2 linked regions of the Rattus norvegicus genome follow. The protein of the gene in region 1 purifies or fractionates together with the protein of each later gene. This does not show direct contact. Links are inferred from orthologs where the notes say so. Each region holds a gene or a part of one and is shown on either strand. Other genes may lie near its edges.

Evidence for each region. The genes of interacting proteins can lie anywhere in the genome.
Region 2: the proteins of Tsen2 (region 1) and Clp1 purify together in Homo sapiens (affinity purification with mass spectrometry; 3 studies listed by BioGRID and IntAct, counting the BioPlex papers as one, with this or other methods). This does not show direct contact. The link is inferred for Rattus norvegicus from reciprocal best matches to the Homo sapiens genes TSEN2 and CLP1.

The regions. Positions count from the first base shown.
Region 1 is NC_086022.1:150,274,642-150,278,372, forward strand, and holds the start of Tsen2 (tRNA-splicing endonuclease subunit Sen2), read left to right. Parts: upstream 1-840; 5' UTR 841-876; exon of another isoform or gene 877-1,387; intron 1,388-3,731.
Region 2 is NC_086021.1:90,214,681-90,218,426, reverse strand, and holds the start of Clp1 (polyribonucleotide 5'-hydroxyl-kinase Clp1), read left to right. Parts: upstream 1-1,261; 5' UTR 1,262-1,344; intron 1,345-2,080; exon of another isoform or gene 2,081-2,123; 5' UTR 2,124-2,145; coding exon 2,146-2,751; exon of another isoform or gene 2,752-2,760; intron 2,761-3,746. UniProt on the Homo sapiens protein: Polynucleotide kinase that can phosphorylate the 5'-hydroxyl groups of double-stranded RNA (dsRNA), single-stranded RNA (ssRNA), double-stranded DNA (dsDNA) and double-stranded DNA:RNA hybrids. dsRNA is phosphorylated more efficiently than dsDNA, and the RNA component of a DNA:RNA hybrid is phosphorylated more efficiently than the DNA component.

The sequences.
Region 1 (3,731 bases):
TGTAGAGATTTCCGCTTAAGACTGAGCACTTGGCAGTCACTAGTCAGCATTTTGATTGTTACTGAGTCACCACTGCCCTCTGCAGAGAAAAGCCTCTCTGGACGTGGTGAAAGCAGCACTAATCTGTATGTGGGTATAACCAAAATATTTGGAAGTAGCTGGATCTCTTCATTTAACAAGACAATAGTAATTGGGTTCTCCTTAAGGTCTTTGACACAGGCTTCTGGTCCTGAGACACAGGCTTCTGGTTAAGTTTACAACACCAAGCATGAATTCCCTCCGACAAACAGACCTCAGATCCACTCACTTAAATGTTGGTTGCCTCTGAACCTTCACACCATTATTACACCAGTGGGTACATCTTCCTTTATAGCATTCAGGGTTCATTACTCTGAATAAAATCTCCTATCACACTGAGGTCAAGGGCAGTCTTTTAGGACAAGTCGCTTCATATCTCATCTCTAAAAAAAATGAACCTTGTGTTGGAACCTCCAGGCAGTGAGCACTTTTAATCCCAGCACTGGAGATGCAAAGGCATCTTGAACTCCGTGAGCTTGTCTGGGCTAGTGAGCTCCAAGCAAACCAAGGCTGTACAGTGAGAACTACATAAAAAAAAAAAAAAAAAAAGTAAAGAGAAAAATGTGGGAATGCTATGAGGATTAAGGCGGGGGAAAGGCCCCTTAGCCTTATTCGTTAGATTTAGCTGGGGGATGGGGCGGAAGGTACTGTCAGAAGTGCTGTGCGCAAGCGTGCTGTGCTAGGACGCAGCCGGTCGTTTTGCGGCTACGCGCAGCTGGTTTTGCGGCCGCGCTGCTTGACGGCTACAGTACCGCCTCCAGGTTGCCGGGTAACCGTGGGCGCGCGTGGCCGGGTAAGGTAAGACTGACGGGAAGTCTGGAGCCGGCCGGTCTCTAGTGTTCTGTGTCCAGCGTGTGAACCGCTTCAGGCGTGAGTGGGGTGGGGGCTGGCTGTCACTCAAGCGTGCTGAGCACAGCTTCCTGATGGCTGCCGAGCATTTCGCTCTCAGTGACAGATGCCATCTGTCCCAGACCCAGGCTGGTCTGCCTTGGCCCTCAGCCCTGAACCTCAGCTCTGGAGCTGTGCAGGGGGAAACACAGATGCAAGTGTGTTTTCAAATGATGAGGAGCCCACGAGGGCTGGGACGGGACTCAGTTGGCAGCGTTTTTCTGTCCCCAGCACTGCGCCAAACCAAGCGTGCGACTGCCCACCTGTAATCCCAACTTCAGGAGGCAGAGGCAACAGTATCAGCTGTTTTTAAAGCTATCCTCAGCTACGTATCAAGTTTGAAGCCAGCTTGGGCTACGTGTGGCCTCATCTCAAACAAACAAACAAACAAACAAACAAACAAAATGATAAGAGAACTCGGGTGAGTTTTGCCATAAGAGAGACTTCTTTGACACCCGATCCCAAGAGTGTTGGGAAATTATACGGATCCACCTTTTCCTGTATGGTTTGTGCTTCGATTGACACTTAGAGGAGTATATAAAAGGGGTTAGGTTGACCATTGTGTGTGACGGTTCATGTCTTTAACCGCAGCACATGGGAGGCTGGGGCAGAAAGATCATAGTGAGTTTAAAGCTAGCCAAAGCTACATAGCAAGATCAAGTGTCAGCAAAACCAAAAATTTTAAATGATTATTAGGCTAGCAGGTTGGGGGAAAAATAAAGGATGGGCCTTGCTTTTGATGGACAGAAATGTGCTTTGTGGTGCTTTGATGTCAAGCATGGCCAGGTTTCTTAACAATCTTTGCAGATACATTCAGCCTGGCCCCCCAAGTCCCTTCTCACTTATACAGTGAGGATAAGAGCAGTGCCTGGGCTGGGACTGTGGCTCCTTTGATAGAGCATTTTCTTTGAATGAGCGGGGCCCTGGGTTCAATCCCCAGCACTGGGAAAAGAAGCAAGTGAAAGCCTATATATTTAGTCCTCCAGACTACTGTTCTGGTCTGCTCTACCCTATACATACATACCTGCATGTATGTATTGCACTATGACAGGTGACAGTTGAGTGCTTGGTTATCTGATCCCCTGCAGCTAGAGTTGTAGGTGGATATAAGCCACCATGTGCATGTTGGGAATTGAACCTGTGTCTTAACTACTAAGCCTCTCTCCATCCCCGTGCATGGGTATCTTTGACACTCACTTGTCAGTTGTTCTAACTTTACTTCCTTGGTCCATGTTTCCCTCTGTCTTTATTGAAGTTCCTAGCTTCGAGAGAAGTTCCATGAAGCTGTCATAACACCGTGGCCAAAGCTTGGTGTTTCAGTTATTACCACTATCATCATCATTATCATCATCCTCTTCCTTCTTCTCCTTCCTTTTTCATCCTCCTCCTTCTTCCTTTTTCTTTTCCTCCTTCCTTCTTCCTCGTCCTCCTCCTCCTTCATTTTGCCAGTATTTGCCTGCCTGTGTGTCTTGTCTATGCTTAATATGCATGCAGTGCCCACAGAGGCCAAAAAGAAGGCGCTGGATCCTTGGGACGGGATCTACAGGTGGATGCGGATGCTGAGAATGGAACCTGAGTCCTCTAAAAGAGCAGGCAGGGCTCCTGCCACATCATTTCTTTTTAATGGTCATGAAATGTTAAAGCCACCCACCTCCTCAGGCTCAACTCTCTATTGCCTAGTGGATGCTGGTTTTAGGGCAAGGGCACCCAGGTCATCAGTCGCATTCTGTCCTTTGTGAGGGGTTATGCGTGTGACCTGAGAGCTCCCTGTAACCTCTCAGTGTAGACCTGACCGTAGACAGCTGCAGGTTCAAATCTCCCACCTGCCTGGTGAAGCATCTGTCATTTAGAATATACACATTTGCAGGGGCCATGGCTCAGTGGTGCTTTGTGCTGGCAGGTAGCGGGCAGCAACTTCGTGTTGCATTCAACTTGCGTGTGTGTGTGTGTGTGTGTGTGTGTGTGTGTGTGTGTGTGTGTGTGTTCTACACTTGTTTTGTCTCTGTAAGACCCAGAATAAAGAGGTCTTCAGCTTCCTTGGACCCTTCTAGGTAATTCTCTGCCTGGTTGGTAGCTGTGTGGCATCTCACTCAGACCTAGACCACCGTGAACAGATGCAAACTGTGCCTGAGTGGGACCCACAAAGAGGACCCTGCACTTAACCCAGCGCTGTCATTCACGGGGCCCTTTACAGGCCTCACTGACCCGAAGGTCACCCTGACTATAAGATGGCATTGCTGGCACTCACCCCGTAACTGATGACATCCAGTGTCATCAGTGTATGTATGGGTGATGCCACTCTGCCAGGTGCAGTCCCAAGCACTCTGGGAACCATGGCTGTGAGAAGCTGGTTTTCTCCCCCTTTATAGATGAACTAAAGCCCAGAAGCTGGGGGACTTTTGCCCAAGGTTTTACAGTTAAAAATGCAGCAGCTTCCTGATTTTGGTTTGTGCACTGCAGAGGCTAACACACAGAGTAGAATACAGCACGGGCAGTCTGGCTTCAGTCCCTGCACACACCCACTGGCATTTGGTGGGACCTAACTGGCCCTTAAATGACAGTGACTCTGCTATGATTCACGGGTTTCCTTTTAAAAGTGGGAGCCAAGCATGGTGACTCAACCTCAAATCTCAGCGCTCGGGAAGTAGAGGCAGGGGGACCAGGAATTCATGGTCATCCTCACCTACATGGTTCAAGATCAGCCTGGACCACACAAAACTTGTCTCAATAAAGCAAGCAAACAAACAGAGAATCCTGAGGACTGA
Region 2 (3,746 bases), on another chromosome or scaffold:
AGCTTGCTAGGCAAGTGCTCTACCACTGAGCTAAATCCCCAACCCCTCTCTCTCCTTTTTTTTTTTCTTCTTTTTTTCGGAGCTGAGGACTGAACCCAGGGCCTTGCGCTTGCTAGGCAAGCGCCCTACCACTGAGCTAAATCCCCAACCCCTCGTTTCTTCTCAAATGAAATTGGAGATACTATACCTACCTGGGTTTGTAGGATATTGTAACATGGACTCCTAAAGCTACTTTGAAAATTGTAAAGCACTGTATAAACAGATAAGATTATTATAGTCTCTCCAGCCTATAATAAAAACTTAAGGCTAACATCAGATACTTTCTATATTATAGGCATTGTGCTTAGCACATATGTCTCATCCAATCTTTAAAACAACTTTAAGAGGTCGAATACTGTTATTATTCCCATTTTATAGACAAGAGATGTCTCAGGGAAAGGAAGCCTGTGATTTATCCAAAGTCAGGCAGTGAACTAATACTAGATTCCAAAGGCCATACTCATGAAAAGTGGATAATAGATGTGGAACCGGTTAGCAGTGGTGTAAATGATCGACTTTGTATAACTGTCAGATGTGCATGGACAGTTTAAACTCTGGCAGAAGTTGTTGGATAATGACTGATTCATAAGATAAAAGAAATCATTGGATTTTTATTCTAATTTACTAAAGAAAAAAACAGCCTGATTCGTGGCTCATGTCTGTAAATCCCAGCATTCAGGACATCAGAGGCAGGAGAATCACAAGGAGTGCCAGGTTGGCTAGCTTCGGGGTGGGGGAGAGTGGTGGAGAGAAGGGGGAGTGGAGAGAATGAATTACACTTAGTTTCTCCTATATGCCAGTTCCGCATAGCCTCAAAGTGGGGACTGCTTGACATGGTATGTGTGTTTCTATTTGACTTAGTGTGTGTCTCTGCTTGTATGTGTTTGTGCCACTTTCCCTCCGCCTGGATCTCCTGCTTAGGCTGCGTTTTGCTAACTTCCCCACTTTTTGGCGTGTGGTCTAGTCGAGCAGAGCTCTTATCTAGACAGTGGTGCCGCTCCCTTTCTGGTTGCCCTTAGCTTTGCTGGACAGCAGATAGGGAGCGACCATGCAACCACCTCCCGCGCGTGGGCGAACCAGCAACGACTCCTTTCCGCCTCCCGCGGTCTTCCCGCACAAAGTGACGGCGCTGCCCCGCCCACCTCCGCGCGTCACAGAACAATCCTTAAACTATAATTCCCAGAGGGCCATGCGGTGGCGCGCGCTCACTCACTCCGAACTACACGTCCCAAAATGCATCACGCGACCGCGTCTCCTACTACCGCGCAAGAGCGGAACCGCCTTTGCTTTCCGGCTAGTATTTAGGTGAGCGTCGTTCATGGTTGGGAAAGTGCTGAGGTCCTGTACCGAGGTTTCTGTAACGCTTATCTAGATCCAGAGGCTCTACAGGTAAGGCTTAAGGACCCCAATTACCTCTGAGAGATTCCGGCAGGTTTTGATGTTGGAGCTAACTGTGATAAATACTGGACTCAGAATTGTGGTTCAGAAATAGTAATTTACATTTCTTTGGTAGTTTCTAGTTTAATATTTTGTTTTTCCAACTGTGGTCCTTGTTATCCCCGGCACTGTACTCTTAACGGTAGGACGTGTAAATGCCCATCGTATAGCAGCTGGGGAGTTGGTTTTGGTATTAAATGGTTGGATTATAGTAACTACTAGTAGCCCCAGAGCTGGACATGCAACTGTTTTCTGATTCTGAACCCAGTGTCCCATTCTTTGCTTACGATTTAGAGGCTTGTTTCTTATTGGCTAAGGGAGTTGGAGGAGAATGGCCATGTGTTACTTTCTTTTCAATAGTGATGGAGGACTATGCAATTCGAATCTCCTGTTAATTACATCTGTAGGTAGTTTTCTTTTTATGTCCTAGTCATTCATTCACTCTGTATTTTGTTGAGGTGCGCTACTCTTCTACTTACTAGAGGCAGAGGAGCAAACAAAAATATCTCTACCTTCTGGATGTGGGGAGACAGGCTGTAAATCGTGAGTCTGGAGGCAATAAGAACTGTGCAGAAAAAGATAAAGGGACTAAACCATTGGAAGATTTTTGAATAGTGATTTGATCTAATATTTAATTTGGGTTCTAGGCACAGCAGCTCAACAGAAAAGATGAGTGAGGAATCCAATGATGACAAGAAGCCAACGACCAAGTTTGAACTAGAGCGAGAAACAGAGCTTCGATTTGAGGTGGAGGCATCTCAGTCAGTTCAGTTGGAGTTGCTGGCTGGCATGGCAGAGATCTTTGGCACAGAACTGACCAGAAACAAGAAATTCACCTTTGATGCTGGTGCCAAGGTGGCTGTTTTCACTTGGCATGGCTGTTCTCTGCAGTTGAGTGGCCGGACCGAGGTGGCTTATGTCTCTAAGGACACCCCTATGTTGCTTTACCTTAACACTCATACAGCCTTGGAGCAGATGCGGAGGCAGGCAGAAAAGGAAGAAGAGAGAGGCCCCCGAGTGATGGTTGTGGGTCCTACTGATGTGGGCAAGTCCACGGTGTGCCGGCTGCTACTCAACTACGCAGTGCGTTTGGGCCGACGTCCTACTTACGTGGAGTTGGATGTAGGGCAGGGCTCTGTGTCCATTCCTGGTACCATGGGGGCCCTGTACATTGAGCGACCCGCAGATGTGGAAGAAGGTTTCTCCATCCAGGCACCTCTTGTGTATCATTTTGGCTCCACCACTCCTGGCACCAACATCAAGCTTTACAACAAGGTCAGGGAGCTAAGAGGGGGTGGAGGGAAAAGTTACAGTCAGGGTATGAAGTAGGGAACTTTGTTACTTAAAACTGCACAATTTTCTCTCTGAATGTAATTGTTCTATTTTTATTTTTTTTGTGTGATAGTCCACTTGATTTCATGAGAGACCATTTTAAAAGTGTGAGCTTTACACTGCTAAGCATTCGATGACACTGCTCAGAGTAATTCATTATTAAGAGGTAAAACGGCAAGCAGGGGGTGTGCAGACATGGGTCAGCAATTGAGTCTAACACACACCTTTCATTTCAGCAGAGACAGAGGCAGGTAGATCTCTTGAGTTTGTGGCCAGCCTGGTCTCCATAGTGAGTTCCAGGACAGAGTGAGACTGTGTTGCAAACAAACAAAACGACAAAACCAAAAACAGTACTACTGTCGGGGGTCAGAGTTTTCCTAGCAAGCGCAAGGCCCTGGATTCGGTCCTCAGCTCCGAAAAAAAAAAAAAGACAAAATAACAGAGTTTATTTCCCAGTATCCATGTCATGGTATTCCCAGTTGCCTGTCACTCCAGCTCTAGGATAAAGTTAACTCCATGTTATGGGGTTAAAACCACAGTCATTAAAACCATCAATTTTGATGTTAATATATCAGTGAGTATTGTAGCTGATCCCTATAGGACTTGGAAGGCTAAGATAGGACTTTCAAGAGTGTGAAGCTAGGCTAGAGTCTTGTACTAAAACCCTGTCTCAGAAAAGTAAAAATACCGGAGAGCAGGGGCTAAGGTTGCAGCTCAATTGCCAAGCATACTTCAAGGCTTGTGTTTGGAATCCCAGCCTGTACAGTTTTTGGATGGTACCTATTACTGGAAAGAGAAACTTAGATGGATTTAGGAGCTAGAGAGATGGCTCAGTGGTTAAGACCATTGGCTCTCCTTCCAGAGGCCCCTAGGTTCAAGTCCCAGCACCCACATGGCAGTTCATGACTGACTGCAACTCAAGCTCCACGGGTATCTGA